Linked DNA regions of Callithrix jacchus. Each later gene encodes a partner of the first gene's protein in a complex. Links are inferred from orthologs where the notes say so. Each region holds a gene or a part of one and is shown on either strand. Other genes may lie near its edges.

Region 1 (5,596 bases):
CAAAACTTTCTTATAAACACAAGGCTGTAAAGTAGATATGTTTTACGATGTTATGCATATTAAGTAGAGGTGGGTCATACATCTTTGGATTAACTCGAAAATAAAATGGCAAAAACAGGAGTGTTAAAATTACAATATAAAAGTGAAAGTAGAAAAAGAACAGTGGAAATTCAACAAAAGTGGAAGGAAAGCAAAGTAATCAAGCAGCAGTCTCAGAAAAGCAATCTGTCATGCTGAGTTTGGGCAGTTTCATGGGAACCTTCGCCAAACCAACAAGGAAAGAGGAAACTAACATCTGAATAGCTACAATGTCCAAAATGTTTAATTAGATGCTTTCATTCAGACCACTTAACACAGCATAATTATTATCTCCAACCTGAAGATACAGAACCCCAAAATCAGAAAGATTATTTAGCTTACTCCAAGTCCATTTGAGCTGAAGTTTATCTGAAGTCAAAGTCCATTCTCTTTCCACTACCAAGCTGCCTTGCAGGAAATAACAGACTATTTCAATAAAGTTCTATTTCATCACTGAAGGGAAAATTTATCAAACTGCCACTGAAAGAACCCAAGGATTTAAATGAAGAATTTATCAATCAGGAGTTTTGGTGTGGAACTGCACTAAAAAAATTGTTAAAGAATTTAAGTGGTTTGTACACTGTAATCTTGACGATTCTGAAAATTAATCATTTCTGTCTACTTTCCTCCTTCTTCACAATTTCTATCTCCAGACCATGTGGAGCCCGCATCCCATCTCATTTTTGCATGTGTTACTCTTTCTGCTTGAAACACTTTTCCTCTCCTCCAGATGGCATCAAAGTTGCTCCTGCTTAACATCAAAGATTTATTTTACTTAAATGTCACCTCTACAAAGTCACCTGTTCCTGCAACTACCCCTATTAAGATAGCATTCCTATTCTCAGATAGACTTACCACTGTATGAAATTGTTCTATTTGGTTTAGGGTTTTTTTGTCTCTTCCAAAAAGAATATAAATTCCTTGACAGAAGGGATCTTGTCTACCTCATTTCTCCAGCACTCAAATTATTCCTGGACACAGTAGGCCCTCTTCAAGTATTTATTGAGTACATGGTAGTACAAAGTGAGACTAAGATGTATCACTGCTAAAAAAAAAAAAAAAAAAAAAAAAAATGTGAGAAGCTACAAAGAAGCCTAAGAGCCTGCATAGGAGTTACAGTGCCTACCACCCTCTAAAGCAAAAGGAAACAAAATAATAATATGCAAACACTTAAATAGTGCTTACTCCATGCCAGGCACTGTTCTAAGCGTTATATGTATATATAAAAACTCATTTTTATCCCTCATAATACACAGGTTTCTCATTCGCATTCCCCCACTTTTTTTTTTTTTTTTTGCAGGTGAGTAATGTGAAGCACATAGGTCAACTTGCCCAGGGTTATAGTAGTTAACAATAGACTTACAATTTGAACCCTGGCAAGGAACACTTATTAAAACTATTATTTGATACTGCCTCTCCAAAAAAGCTGAGTGGTTGGCAGCATGGCCCCGCTGTTTCTCTGTGACCGTAAAAATAAGTCTATCAACTTCAAATAGCTGGGGAGCGGATAATAAACGTATACTTAGTTTCGTCCACAGTAGCAGTAACGCCATTAGTTATTACGTGCAAACGTTCTCTATTCTCGTCAGCTTTTCAGATCCCACAAGATTTCACCTTTGGCAGCAATAACATCCCGTTTCACCATGTCAACTTTCTCCACCATCCCGTATACCCCCTCATTCCAGTGCTCGTTCATTGAATCTGCTCCGAACCCTGCATCTGCGGCTTTCTAGGGGCCAATGTTAATTCATCTGTAAAATAGCAATAGTATCTGTCTAGTCTCCACCCCGAGAAAGGACTGAGCGAAAGGTGGAGTGTGAGAGCGGTCTACTGATATTAATTTCTATCACTCTGATGGTTATTGTAAGTTTCCTTTTCTCCTCCGCACTTTATGAGCAAAGAAACGAAACTTCACGTTCAAAAACAGCCACCATAAGGGGCATTGGCTTGCCCTATTCACTGTTAAGAGTCTGCGCAGTAGCGAAGGCCAGAGCCCTTGCTTTCTCATTTTCCGCCGCCGCGCTTCGATGACGTAAATTTTCTGCGCCGCGGGACCGGCAGCGGCGCTTCAGGAGTCACGTTCCGTTTCCCCCGCGGATTTTAGTGCCAGTGGGACCCGGGACCCAACACCATGAAGGAAACGCCACTTTCAAACTGCGAGCGCCGCTTCCTACTCCGTGCCATCGAAGAGAAGAAGGTATGGTTTGGTCCCTGCAGAATTGGCGCGCTGCTTGGGCGCCAAGGTGTGAACTCATAACCCGGTCCGCCTGGGCCGGGGGAGCAACTAGGGGAGCGACCGGCGGGTGCACCCCAACCCTCAGGCTTTATTATTGTTTTTTCGACAGGTTCTTTTCAAGGCTCCCAGCAGTTGTCTGTGCTGTAGTTTCCGCTTTTCTATATGGGCGGGATGGTTAGGATTTCACTTTCCTCCAAGTGCTTAGCCCAGAGCCAGAAAAAGTAATTGCTTAAGAAATACTTGTTGAAGGAATAAATGAATGAATTTGTGCTTACAGCGGCTGGATGGCAGACAAACCTATGATTATCGGAACATCAGGATCTCATTTGGAACCGATTACGGATGTTGCATTGTGGAACTTGGAAAAACAAGGTAACAGAATTTAAATAATATATACATTCAAAAGGGAGAAGTTTTTAAAAAGACATATGTTTATAAACCAGCTAAGAAGTCTGGACGGTATCCTTTGTTGAGCTGACAAAAGTAAGTATTTTTTTATGCAAGATTTTTTGGTTTTGTGGTCACTATTGAAATTTGTAATCATAAACCTATTTTCTGTCACGTATCACATAGTTCTTTCTGACTTCTATACATCGTATAGACAACCAGTAGTGACCACACTGAATTTGTTTCTCATACTAGTATAGAGATCTTGAGCATCTTGTCATTAAGTATACATCCTGCTTTCCTCTTTTTCCTGAGTGACATGAAAATTAGGTTTTCTGATATTCATTTTAAAGTTGTGAGACTATTTGGTTAGATAATAGTGGTGAACGATGCCATGTGAAAACCCTTAAGAAATCTCAAGTTTTCATGCCATCTTGTATCAATAAATACTTGCTTTAGAGGTAAAGGTCATTGATTTTTAAAACAATCTGTGGAATAGTAAACATTGTAATAAGATTTTTTTTCTGTTGTGTTTTTAGGTGTATCAATTTATGTTTTATTTCTGTGTATATTATACTTTATATATAATTATATCTCCTATGATATATTTGGCTGAGTGTGATATTACTCAGTAAGGTTGAAACCTGCTGTTTCAGATTTTTTTTTTTTGGAAGGAAGATCTATTTAGTTAATACTTTGTTCCTTTATCTTTTCAGAGTTCTTGGACAGGTTTCCTGTGAACTTGTGGCTCCAAAACTCAATAGGGCAACAGAAGGTATTCTTTTTTTTAACCTTGAACTCTCTCAGATGGCCGCTCCAGCTTTTGAACCTGGCAGGTATTTAAATCTTTTTCTTAAGCTACTTTAGTCATAGGAGGACCTCACAGTAGTGACCTTTTTTTTTTTTTTTTTTTTTGAATACCTGGTGTTGTATTTCATGACATTAGCCCCGTCCTATTTTCCTATTATAGGCAGTCAGATCTCTTGGTGAAGTTGAATCGACTCTTGGAAAGATGTCTAAGAAATTCGAAGTGTATAGACACTGAATCTCTCTGTGTTGTTGCTGGCGAAAAGGTGGGGAATATGCCCAAATTTCTTTTTTTTTTTTAACCCCAAATCACATGGAATGGAGAATATGCCCAAAATTCTTAATCTTAGGATAAATATTGTTGATTCACGGATCCCAGTGTCTGTTTTTATTCTCAGAACTTTCGTTAACTCAGTTTTGTACTGGTTCACTTCACTTCAGATGTGATACCCTTAGAACTTTGTGCCATCTCTCTCTCTCTGAAGGGACAAAAAGCTTTATCTTTAAAGGGTAAAAATAGTAACTTAGATTTGTGTGTAAAATATTTTATTTAAAGAACTTGTGGCTTTTTCATATAATCTCTCATGTATTTTCTTATGTTACCTACATGAGTTCATAGAAGCAGGTAGTTTTCTTTTTTCATGCAGAACTCAAGAACAGATGAAATCACTCATTTTGATAGGTTTATCGATTTACACAGGGCCACATCATGTCAGTAGCAGGGATAACTTTGGAAATCTTAGTCCCAGTAAATTGTGCTGCATTCGGATATTAGAATTGTATTATTATTATTATTATTTTGAGACAGAGTCTCCCTCTGTTGCCCAGGCTGGACTGCAGTGGTGCAATCTCAGCTCACTGCAACCTCTGCCTCCCCTGTTCAAGCCTTCCGAGCAGCTGGAACTACAGGCACCTGCCACCACGTTCAGCTAATTTTTGTATTTTTAATGGAGACAGGGTTTCACCATGTTGGTCAGGCTGGTCTTGAACTCCAGACCTCAAGTGATCCACCTGCCTCAGCCTCCCAAAATGCTGAGATTACAGGGATGAGCCACTGTACCTGGCCAGAATTTGATTCTTGATTAAGGTATTTTGACAAGCTTTTTACTCCACAGAAATCATTTAGCTTTCCATATTCCATACCTAAGTATAATACTTCCTATTTGCATTACTTGTACCCTTATTAAAAATATCACAAAACCTAAAAGTTTAACTTTTAAAAATTTTTTATTTATTATTTTCTCTTAGGGATAGGGTGACACTCTTTTCCAGGCAGGAGTGCAGTGGTGTCATCATATCTCAATGTAACCTTAAACTCCTGGGCTCAAGGGATCCTCTTGCCTTAGCCTCCCAAATAGCTAGGACTACAGTGCATGCCATTTCACCTGGCTAATTAAAAAACATTTTTTTCTTTTTGTGGAAATAAGGTCTTGCTGTGTCGCCCAGGCAGGTCTCAAACTCCTAGGCTCAAGCAGTTCTCCCACCTTGGCCTCCTAAAGTGCTGGGATTATAGGTGTAAGCCACTGTGCCTGGCCTAGGGTTTGTGGTTTTTAAATTAACACACATGATAAAAGTATCATTAGATTTGAGGTTAGGAAAATCTTAGTATTAAGTGTTAGAGTGGTTCTGTTTATTTAAAGTATGTGTTTTACTGTTGTTAAATGACTCACACAGTATTTCAGATGTTTGACTTAAAATTTCTAAAATGTATTTTTTTGTTGACGAACTAGAAGGAGTAACTGCCTGTTTTAAAGCAAGAAAAAATTTGTACACGACGTTACTTTTCCTGATAAATAGCCACTCATTGTAATCAGGATTTATTTTTTTAAAATTCACTTTCAGGTTTGGCAAATACGTGTAGACCTACATTTATTAAATCATGATGGAAATATTATTGATGCTGCCAGCGTTGCTGCAATCGTGGCCTTATGTCACTTCCGAAGACCTGATGTCTCTGTCCAAGGAGATGAAGTAACACTGGTAAGCTCTTATGTGATCAGGATCCTTGATATGAATGAATGAGGATTGTCCTAAATGTGTAGGCAACTTGCTTTTAGTGAAGTTATGTTGCAAATGGCAACTTGGTTG
Region 2 (5,238 bases), on another chromosome or scaffold:
GCCAGCAGGATTGGGCCTGGGTTTCAGAGCCTGCTGTTTTTCTGGACTTTTCTCCTGCAGGTATTGGAGAAGACAAAGCAGCTTATTGACAGCAACCCCAACCAGCCCCTTGTCATCCTGGAGATGGAGAGTGGTGCCTCAGCCAAGGTAACCTAGGGACCGGGGCCCTTACCCTGGGGCTCAGCAGCCCTCTGGTGGCTGATACGCGTCCTCTGTGGCTCTTAGCCAAGGGGTTATCTGGGGCCCCCTATCTGGGATTTAGGTGGGACTGAGCCCTGGGGTGATCTGGCTCTGGGTGGGAAGAGGAGCAGCTCCTTGCATGTGTGGGGCACGCTTGGGTGGGGTTGGGGGTGTGTGGCGGTCTTGCTGTGGACTGCAGGCTCTCACCTGAGTGGAGAGCAGGGTACCTGCTCCAGCACCGTGGCCTGAGCCAGCTCTTCCCACCCCCCGCAGGCCCTGAATGAAGCTTTGAAGCTCTTCAAGATGCACTCCCCTCAGACGTCTGCCATGCTCTTCACTGTGGATAATGAGGCTGGCAAAATCACGTGCCTGTGTCAAGTCCCCCAGGTCAGAACTGCCTACGACCTTTCACACCAGGGGGGCAGTGTAGGTCTTAAGCTTATTCCTGAGGCCTGTGTGTTCACAATCGGCATTTGAAACTAGACACCTGTTGCCCTTTACCCCGGCCTTCTCATTGGTGAAGATGTCTGGTTGATACTTGGCTTTGCCACTCTGTCCTTTCCTGGCTGTGGCTATGACTTCCCCCTTTACCAGCTGTTAAGCGTGTCTCGGCTGCCAGCATCACCACCCTGGGCAGGAGTGGGGGATGGCTCCTGCATTTCTTTTCCTCCATTCCTCATTTATCTTGTGTCCTAACTCCCCCTTCCCTTCTTTTCTTCCAGAATGCAGCCAATAGGGGCCTAAAAGCCAGCGAGTGGGTGCAGCAGGTATCAGGCCTGATGGATGGTAAGGGTGGTGGCAAGGATGTGTCTGCGCAGGCCACAGGCAAGAACGTTGGCTGCCTGCAGGAGGCGCTGCAGCTGGCCACTTCCTTTGCCCAGCTGCACCTCGGGGATGTGAAGAACTGAGGTGGGGAAGGAGGAGTTTGGCACTGGATCCATAGGTCCAGCCAGGAGTTCCTCCTCTGCTCTAAGAACATTAGAATCTTGGGACCTTTAAAGAGCTCCCACCATCTTCCTAACCCCACGGTAACTGGAAGAGGTCCTGTGACCCAGTATTCCTTATATGTCTGCCCTGAGTACCCCAGCATTGCTGTTGTGCATCGATAGGCATCTGGAGCGGACAGCTCTCCAGACCTGAGCTGTCTGGGTTAGCAAATGGGAATCATTTTCGCTGCAGAGAATAAAGGACCATGTGCAATAATTGACGCCGCAGGATCTCTACCCATTCCCAATGGGGGCGCGCCGTTTCCACAGCCTGTGGCCCCTGCTGTCTAGAATAAATGCTGTGACTCCTGCTGGCTGCTGCTGTATTCACTGTCTAGCCCCAGAACTCTGAATTTTGGGAGTAGCCCCTGTGGTTGCCTCAACCGTTTGTGGCGATGGAAGCCAAATAGGTGACATAGAGGGAGGTGTTCATAATTCAACAGAAAATGAGGGGTGGAAGCAGAGAAGCCTCTTTCTTCTAACTGCCGCCCCCCGCCCCCGTTGTATGTATGAACGCCACATGCCCTGCACTAGCGGCACCAAGGCTTTGAGGACGCCGGCCGTTCTCCCTCCAGGCCTTCAGAGGGCGCTATAGCGAAGCCGGCTGCTCCCCGACATCCTTCGCGCAGGCGCGCATCTTTAAGCAGCGGAAGAGCTGGTGTGCGTGGTGGAGCAGCGGCCGGAAGCAGGTCGCACGCCAGGCGCCGTGATGCCTGGGGACCACCGCCGTATACGCGGCCCGGAGGAATCACAGCCGCCGCAGCTGTACGCGGCCGACGAAGAGGATGCGCCCGCCGCTCGCGACCCGACGCGGCTGCGACCCGTGTACGCTCGCGCGGGGTTGCTGAGCCAAGCCAAGGGCTCAGCCTACCTGGAGGCAGGAGGCACCAAGGTGTTGTGCGCGGTGTCGGGCCCGCGCCAGGCCGAGGGCGGCGAGCGCGGGGGCGGCCCGGCCGGAGCGGGTGGCGAGGCCCCGGCCGCGCTGCGTGGTCGACTGCTCTGCGATTTCCGCCGCGCCCCCTTCGCGGGGCGCCGGCGCCGCGCTCCCCAGGGCGGCGGTGAGGAGCGTGAGCTGGCGCTGGCGCTGCAGGAGGCGCTGGAGCCAGCGGTGCGCCTGGGCCGATACCCGCGTGCACAGCTCGAGGTGTCTGCGCTGCTGCTGGAGGACGGGGGCTCAGCCCTGGCCGCCGCGCTCACCGCCGCTGCGCTCGCCCTGGCCGATGCGGGCGTGGAGATGTACGACCTGGTGGTGGGCTGCGGCCTGAGCCTCGCTCCGGGGCCCGCGTCCACCTGGCTACTGGACCCCACGCGGCTCGAGGAGGAGCGCGCCGCCGCCGGTCTCACTGTGGCACTCATGCCCGTCCTGAATCAGGTGGCTGGGCTGCTGGGTAGCGGGGAGGGTGGCCTGACCGAGAGCTGGGCGGAGGCCGTACGCCTTGGCCTCGAGGGCTGCCAGCGCCTCTATCCAGTGTTGCAGCAGTGCCTGGTGCGGGCTGCCCGTCGCAGGGGCGCCGCCCCGCCCTGAACAACGACGGACGCCACGCCGAGACCCGTGCCGTGGGCCTCGAGCCTGCATCGAGATATGCAGCAGGAGCCCCGGAGAGCACCTGGAGAGGCTGAAACAGAGCCGAGGCGCCAGACAGCTGTGGTGGTGGAAGGGCTTTTTACAAACCTCATTAAAGGAACTTTCCTCCTTTAGCCGGCTCTCAGCTGCGACCCAGTTGAGAACACCTGTGAGCGCAGCCTGACTTCCAGGCTGGAAACTTGGAACTTACCTGGAAGCTGGTATCTGGGAACTGTAGTCATTTAAGGGATAGATCCTTTGCACCGCCAGCCAGAGACTCCCTCTGACGTAACTGGGCGACTTTTGAGAGGTTGGACAAGAGGCTGTGCCTTCTCACCGTGTCTGAGCCAAAAGAAAAACACTTCTATATCTGAAAAGCGTCTTCTGTTGTGATTCTTCTTGGTCCAGGATTTTAGAGAGCACGGCTTCTTTGTTCTTACATCCCAGGTGGCAAGGGGCCGTGACCGCGGTGCCTTTAACCGGTCCCGTTCCTTAGACCAACTTGAACGGGACAGATAGGCTGCAAAGAACAGCTGCAGGACTGGATGTGGGCCCTGTGCTTTATAGAAGGAGAAGCTGCCCCCACACGAACCAGAGACAGGACAGCTGCTGAGATATGACAAAAGTAGGAAGAGTTGTATGGCCCCAGCGGCGCGCTGAGTGCACCCCAGCCCCCCACCCTGGTTTGGTACTGGGCAAGACCCAACTCGGCTGGGTAGCTGGAATGGGTTTTGCTCTGGGTGGAAGCCAGATCTGTCCTTGGCCATGTGGAGAACGGCACAACCAGAGGCCTCCACAGCCGGTGGGAAGTGGTGTCCTGGGCCGTCTTCACGTGGTGCCTTGGTCCTAGGAGGAAAACCCTGAGCAACGCCCAGAGAGGGCAGGTGAACTGCCAGGAAAGCCAGGTACGGCTTGGCTGCTCCATAGGGCAGAACCGGCCTGACTCACCACGAGGGTGGGGTCTTTCCTGTGTGGCTCCCAGATCTGCTGGTCTGGTCTCAAGGCTGCTCTGGACGCAGCCAGGTGACTGCCATTGAGAAGGCAGGGCAGCCTGGTCCGGTCTCTGCACTCGGCTTCTCGGGGAAGGGCCGGTGCCGGGCAGCCCAAGGACCAGAATGAGTTTCTGGAGCCACACCAAGAAGCCTTGACCAGGAAAAAGATTTATGAATTTTATTTTTTCCCTTTTGACTTACCTTTCCAGAGCAGGTCTGAAATGGTATCACACCAGTGGAGACAGCTCATGTTATTCTGAAGGATGGCTTTGGAGAGTGGATGACGAGTCTGGAGCCCCAAGAGGGTGGTGTGGGGTGTACGCCGAGGACCTTCCGGCTGTTTCGGGCAGGGAGGGAGACTGGGATCCCAGGGAAATCTGTTGGCTGTTGGTGCATCCAGAGGGGAGTGAAGAGCAGCTGTGGCCGTGTCTGCACTCAGGACTGAGGATTGCCCCTGAGTGCTGGGGTGGGGTGGGGGTGGGCTGTCAGCTGTCCCTTGGAAGACAGCCTCAGCTTCATGAGGATGGCGACCTGGTACAGTCCCAGGCTACCTCCCTCCTAACGCTGTCAGTCCCATGGCTGTCATCGTGAAATGTAACCTCCTAAGAAGCTAAACCTGCTGCAACAGTGAACCTTCCGCTTTTCTGGCCAAGCCCTGTGTTCTCTTCTATTGACCCAGCTCCAGAACGGGTATCTCAGGTTGCATGGGTGCTACCAGGAGGCCTTCACAACCTAGGCAAGGCAAGGACCTACCCCAGAACGCCCGGAGCTGATGAGCCTGGAGGAGATCCTGCTTCCTCTTGGCTGTCCTGGTCCTATGCGTGGTCCTCCACCTGTAGGGAAAGTAGAAGCAGGACGTTAGTGGAGGGGCAGGAGGCATGGGCTAGGAAAGGAGGGGCCCACAGCACCTAGTCTTTCTGCACCCACTTTCCATTTCCCCAGAGCTTTGGCACCTCAGATCTAGGAACTCAGAACCACCAGGCAAAAGAAAGCATTTTTTCTACATGGAGATGTGCCCATTCAAATGTTACAGGTGTGACTCAGGCCCTGGGCAGCAGAGAGAGCTCTCCCGAGCCCAGCAGGCCAAGAACAGAGCTGTGTGGGTGGATGGGGGTGGGCTCCCAGCACAGTGTAGGCCAGGCGTGGCCTGCCTCAGACCACCGAGAGTGGAGGTGATGGTAGAGCAGGGAATGTTGGGGCCCTCTAATTTCACACAGAGGGCTGTTACCAGTTCCAGGAAGGTCTGTGTGCCATAGCTTCTGGGGGTGGGGCATGGGACAGCTGGAGACCCAGCAACGGCAGGTGGAGATGGGGCCCGGAAGAGGGGCTTGGGTTTTAACAAGCTTACCAGCCAGGTCTCACACAAGGGCTTTGGGGCCTTGGGGCACACCTGTGACATTCCCTCTACAGTCCTCCTGTCCCTGTCCCCCCAGTGCCTTCCAGGAGAAGGTATTTCAGCCCAGAACCAACCCTGGCATAGCTGAGCCCTCCAAGCCTGGAATTGGGTGACAGAAAA
Region 3 (5,540 bases), on another chromosome or scaffold:
TTGTGTCATGATAGAAAAGTCATGTGCTGACCAGTACAGCAGCCATTAGCCACTGAAATGTGGCTAATGTGACCAAGGAAATAAATGTTTTTCATGTGCTGACCAGTATAGCAGCCATCAGCCTCAAGTGGCTACTGAGTACTTGAAATGTGGCTAATGTGACTAAGGAAATAAATGTTTTTTTTTGTTTGTGTTTGAGAGACAGGGTCTTGCCCTGTCACCCAGGCTGAAGCAATCATGGCTCACTGCAGCTTCAACCCCCTGGGCTCAAGTGATCCTCCTGCCTCAGCCTCCCAAGTAGTTAGGACCACAGGCATGTGCTACCATGCCTGACTAATTTTGATTCTTTTTGTAGAGATGAGGTTTCACTGTTTCCCAGGATAGTCTTGAACTCTAGGCTGAAGCAATCCTCCTGCCTTGGCCTCTGAAAGTGCTAGATGCAGTATGAGCCACTGCACCCAGCCAGAAATAAATTTTTAATACTGTTTAAGTAGCCATATGTAGCTTGTGGCTATCATACTGGACACTGCAGTTCTAGCATGATCATGATTTCAGTATTGAAAGGGCATTCAAAGCATGGAGGTTAGAACCGTCTTACCTTACAGGTTACAATAGCTCCCACATCTGGCAGTAATTGGGACTCTGTTTCTCTCATTACAGACACCACAGGAAGCTACAGAGGGAACAACAAAAAACTGAAATGTCCTGGCTAACCCTTGGGTCAAGGCATTTGTGGCTTGAGAGTAACATAGGAATGCCTTAGTACACAGTTGAGAGTTGGAGTACAGATTCATTTATAGCCCAGAGCAGAAGACATTAGAAACTTTAGGAAATAGTAGGAAAAAGAGGTTACAGAATGCTGCTAAGACATAAATCTCACTATTCTAGATGAGTTCTAGTAAGTTTTTTGGTGATTCTCTTGGAATTTCTTGGTATACAACTATATACTGCCTATAATCATGGATAATTTTTTTCTTTTTTTTTTTTGAGATGGAGTTTCACTCTTGTTGCCCAGGCTGGAGTCCAGTGGCACGATCTCGGCTCACTGCCACCTCCGCCTCCTGAGTACAAGTGATTCTCCTGCCTCAGCCTCCTGAGTAGCTGGGATTACAGGCACGCGCCAACATGCCCAGCTAATTTTTTGTATTTTTAGTAGAGACGGGGTTTCACCATGTTGACCAGGATGGTCTCGATCTCTTGACCTCGTGATCCACCCGCCTCGGCCTCCCAAAGTGCTGGGATTACAGGCTTGAGCCCCCGCCTGGCTGAAATTCCCACAAAAATGTTACATAATAGTGGCCATGCTTGTTTTCTTCTATTTTAAGTGAATAGCTGCATTTGCTCTTTGAGCATGGTATTGGCTGTTGGTGTAAGACAGATAGTTTGAACCTCATCTTTTATCAATCTCTCCCTTGGTCATGATGCTTCAGCTCTCCTGGCCTTCTTTCAGTTTCTCTGACTTACTAAATTCTTCCCACTTTTGGATCTCTCTTCAACCCGTTCTTTCTACCAGAACTACACTCTCTCCACCCACCCAACTCTTACTTACTCTTTAGATGATTCAGCTTAAATGTCACTTCTGCTGACTAGGGTGGGTTTGGTTGTTACATGTTTTCAAGGTGCCCTGTAATATTCTTTTAAGCAGTCACCAAATATGTAACCATATACAATTTAAGCATTTATTTTACAATTTGTGTCTGTGTCCTTTGATAGCAGAAACCAAGTCAGCGCTGTGCCTGACACATGAAAACACTCAGATGGTATCTGTGAAGTGAAGAAACTCAGGACTGTTAAGGACATTCCCAAGAATGACTGAATAGAAAGCCCCTTGAATCAGACAGCTTAATTTACTTACTCAAAGCAGAATCAAGGTCTAGTTAGCTAGAACCTATGTGTTCTAATTCTGAATCCTCTATTGTGCTCCTTCAAATATTGCTTATGCGATCCTGAGCTAATCCTAGATCAATTTCTGATTTTTTTTTTTTTGAGACGGAGTTTCGCTTGTGTTACCCAGGGGCTAAAGTGCAATGGCGCTATCTCGGTTCACTGCAACCTCCGCCTCCTGGATTCAGGCAATTCTCCTGCCTCAGCCTCCTGAGTAGCTGGGATTACAGACATGCGCCACCATGCCCAGCTAATTTTTTGTACTTTTTAGTAGAGACGGGGTTTCACCATGTTGACCAGGATGGTCTCGATCTCTTGACCTCGTGATTCACCCGCCTCGGCCTCCCAAAGTGCTGGGATTAGAGGCTTGAGCCACCGCGCCCAGCCCGATCAATTTCTAAAACTAGAAAGTTTGGTATTATGCATTCAACAAACATTTATTGAGGAGCTGCCTTGTGCTAGATACTGAATGTATGGTGGTAGGGCCTGCTTTCATGGAACTTAGATTCAAGCAGTGGAGAAGTCTGGTGGGAATCATATACCTGAGTTTCTAATCATATGCTGACATAAATGCTTGGAATAAAAGGAACAGAGGTCTTTGTGAGTCTTAAACAAAACAAACAAAAACAAAACACCCCACAAAACCCCTTTCCTCAATTAGTGGGTCCAGAAGGGCTTCTCTGAGAAGTTGATAGTACAGAAGCTATCTAAAGGAGGTAGGAATTAAATGGGCCTAGGAAGACAGAAGCGTTCCAGATAGATGAATGTTACAAAGGCTCTGTAGCAGGAGAAAGCTTGGCACCTTAGCGACATTGAGAGAAGCTAGTATGTTATAAATTTTTTAAAAAAGGGCAAGCAGAGACTGTGATTATAAATTTTAAAAACAGAAAAGACAGTATGACTAGATTGCGTCAGTGAGGTGGAGATAGTGGCGCAAGATAAAGCCGGAGAGATAAGCGACATTCATACAGTATGCAACTCACTGCTGGGCTGGGCTGGGTTACTGAGTTCACATCTGCTTTTGTCCCAACCTCCCTCCCCAAGAGTCAGCAGCACAACCAAGCGAGATCAACACAACTAGTTTGTGGTGTCCAAGTGCACAACGGCGGCGATCACGGCTAGAAGAAACTAAGACCAAGGTTGTACCGGTGAGGCACTAAAGACACGTCCGCAGTGGCCATGCCTAAGGACTGGAACTTAATGAAAGCCTAAGTGAAAAGAGAGAGAGGAGACGGCAAGCCGCTCCCTTTACCGCGCCGTTCTCGCTGCTCTTCATCAGGCAGCCGGCAAGCGACGAAAAGATGTAACCGTGGCGGGTGTAGGTGCCACTGCCCGGGCTGCCCTCCTCCAAGTTACACAGACGTTCGCCTGCAGAAAAAATGCTCTATCAGTCACTGGCCCCCAGAAGCTATAGGCCGTCCAGCCTTCCAGCTTCGACCTCTTTCCAGGACTCTACGGGAAGCGCTCTCTTACCGGGAATGCAGTATCTGACGGGTGGCGCCATGATTGCCGCTGTCCAAACCCGGATGGAAACGAAGTCGACTTCTCATTGGCCAAACCCAGGCACAGTTCCGCAGTAAGACTTGCGTCAATTGGTGTTCTTTATCACGTGATCTGTAGGAGCGCCTCCTTGCGGGTAAACTCAATTTCCCAGATTACCCCGGGACAAATCCGGGGGCGGAACTTCAGAGCTCCACGCTTGCGACTGCGCCTGTGGTTGAGGATGGGCTGGCGGCGGGTCCGGTTGCGCTGGCTGGCGCTGCGGGCTGCGTGCCATGGTGGGTTGGATTGAGCCCGGCCCGGCCGGGGCGCCGAGTCAGAAGGGGTGGCAGTGAGCGGCGGCAGAGGCTGCGGGGCTCGGTTTGGCTGACTGGGGAGTCGGCAGGCGGCAGGTAAGGGCGAAGCCTCGGCCCTTGCTCCCAATCCTAGTCCCTTTTTTTGGGTCGGGCACTGCCCTGAGGCCTTGTCTTGAGTCCGGGTTCCTGCTCTCTCCCCGCCCCGCCCTGCGGGGCCGTGTCTTCCTCCGCCGGAGCACACCTTCCGAGCAACCGTTAGGCATAGAGCCGGAAGGAAGGAGGTCAAGCGACCCCCTCCATTTCACAGATAGGGAACCTCAGATTCAGAGACAGGGTTTGGCTTGTCCAAAATCTTGAAGATAGTTAAGATAGAGCCCAAACTGGAACCCACGGTTTTTGACTTACAGACCGTCGCAGTTTCACCTCGTGGCTCTCATTGAGAAATAAAACCTTTTCCTGTTTGTTTGTTTGTTTTTTTAAATATATACGGGGTCTCGCTCTGTCGCCAGGCTGGAGTGTAGTGGCGTGATCTCGGCTCACTGAAATCTACGCCCCCTGGGTTCAAACAGTTCTGCCTCAGCCTCCCAAGCAGCTGGGATTACAGGCGTGTGTCACCGTGCCTGGCTAATTTTTGTACTTAGAGACAGGGTTTCACCTTGTTGGCCAGCCTGGTCCCGAACTCTTGGTCTCAGGTGATCCACCCGCCTCGGCCTCCCAAGGTGTTAGGATAACAGGCGTGAGCCACCGCGCCTGGTCCTTTTCCCGGTTTTTTAAACCGCAGCTTTCAGTCCTGCGTTCTGATCCTCTTCACGGCCCCCCATCCCTACTTCAGTGAGCTTTCTCAGGTTGAAAAAGTCGAGCTCTGGTTGTGTGGGCCCCTCATGAAAAGATGAGCAGCCCCAAAATAAAGTTGCTATTCTTTTTCTTCTCAGCGTGTTAGCCCAGAAGGGAGATCTGCACATGAATAAAATGCTACTCTTCATTGATGTCTGGTATCTCCTACTTGGAATTGCAAACATCCTAAGAGCAGCGTCTTTGATCTCAGTTGTTCACCTGACTTCTGATGGCGTTTGCCGTGTGTCCCTGTTCCCTCAGTCGACTTTCCCCTTGGGAAACAGATGGTGACTTAGAGCCATGGGAAGAAGGGAGGCTGTGGCCTGTAGTCTCCTCCAGTCTGGTGGCAGATCATGACTATGGCCTGTGGTGACTACTCTGAGGGATCACAGTACTCGGGGCTTCTGCTTGGGGTGGTAGTGAGGCTACACTTTGCCCTTCTTCCCCCCACACATCTTTCTGAATTTTGCTTTACCTCAGTGTCCTGAGATGAAAAGTCTATGTGTTCAGTTGTAGCCCACTTACTACATATATCATTTTCCTGGCATCCCCTACCCCATTAGCTAAAGGGGAGAGGCCCTAGCCTCAGACTTTGTTCACCTAAATCTGTATCTATGCATTTAGGAGTTTTTTATTTTTCTTCTTATTTTTTTTTTGAGATGGAATTTTGTCCCTCTTGCCCAGGCTGGAGTGCAATGGCATGATCTGACTCTCCACAACCTCCACCTCTCAGGTTCAAGTGATTCTCCCACCTCAGTCTTCCATGTAGCTGGGATTACAGGCATGCACCTCCATGCCTGGCTTATTTTGTATTTTTAGTAGAGACGGGGGTTTCTCCATGTTGGTCAGGCCAGTCTCAAACTCCCGACCTCAGGTGATCTGCCCGCCTTGGCCTCCCAAAGTGCTGGGATTATAGGCATGAGCCCCCATGTCCGGTGTCTAGGAGCTTTTCACATAGTTGGGCTGATTTCTGGTTGAACTTGTTTTAAAAAACAACTTCTAGCTCCTAAGTGCTATGATGTTAAT

Evidence for each region. The genes of interacting proteins can lie anywhere in the genome.
Region 2: EXOSC9 (region 1) and EXOSC6 share a complex: the UniProt entries of both Homo sapiens proteins name them as parts of the RNA exosome core complex. The link is inferred for Callithrix jacchus from reciprocal best matches to the Homo sapiens genes EXOSC9 and EXOSC6.
Region 3: EXOSC9 (region 1) and EXOSC1 share a complex: the UniProt entries of both Homo sapiens proteins name them as parts of the RNA exosome core complex. The link is inferred for Callithrix jacchus from reciprocal best matches to the Homo sapiens genes EXOSC9 and EXOSC1.

Annotation. Positions count from the first base shown.
Region 1 is NC_133504.1:75,883,035-75,888,630, reverse strand, and holds the start of EXOSC9 (exosome complex component RRP45), read left to right. Parts: upstream 1-2,110; 5' UTR 2,111-2,209; coding exon 2,210-2,275; intron 2,276-2,591; coding exon 2,592-2,686; intron 2,687-3,417; coding exon 3,418-3,537; intron 3,538-3,671; coding exon 3,672-3,774; intron 3,775-5,350; coding exon 5,351-5,488; intron 5,489-5,596. UniProt on the Homo sapiens protein: Non-catalytic component of the RNA exosome complex which has 3'->5' exoribonuclease activity and participates in a multitude of cellular RNA processing and degradation events.
Region 2 is NC_133521.1:31,651,078-31,656,315, forward strand, and holds EXOSC6 (exosome complex component MTR3), read left to right. Parts: upstream 1-1,830; 5' UTR 1,831-1,875; coding exon 1,876-2,691; 3' UTR 2,692-4,354; downstream 4,355-5,238. Other genes in the region: AARS1 (alanine--tRNA ligase, cytoplasmic), read left to right, coding at 61-147, 454-567, 903-1,088. UniProt on the Homo sapiens protein: Non-catalytic component of the RNA exosome complex which has 3'->5' exoribonuclease activity and participates in a multitude of cellular RNA processing and degradation events.
Region 3 is NC_133513.1:90,265,430-90,270,969, forward strand, and holds the start of EXOSC1 (exosome complex component CSL4), read right to left. Parts: upstream 3,409-5,540; 5' UTR 3,389-3,408; coding exon 3,358-3,388; intron 3,253-3,357; coding exon 3,137-3,252; intron 674-3,136; coding exon 599-673; intron 1-598. Other genes in the region: palmitoyltransferase ZDHHC16, read left to right, coding at 4,744-4,883. UniProt on the Homo sapiens protein: Non-catalytic component of the RNA exosome complex which has 3'->5' exoribonuclease activity and participates in a multitude of cellular RNA processing and degradation events.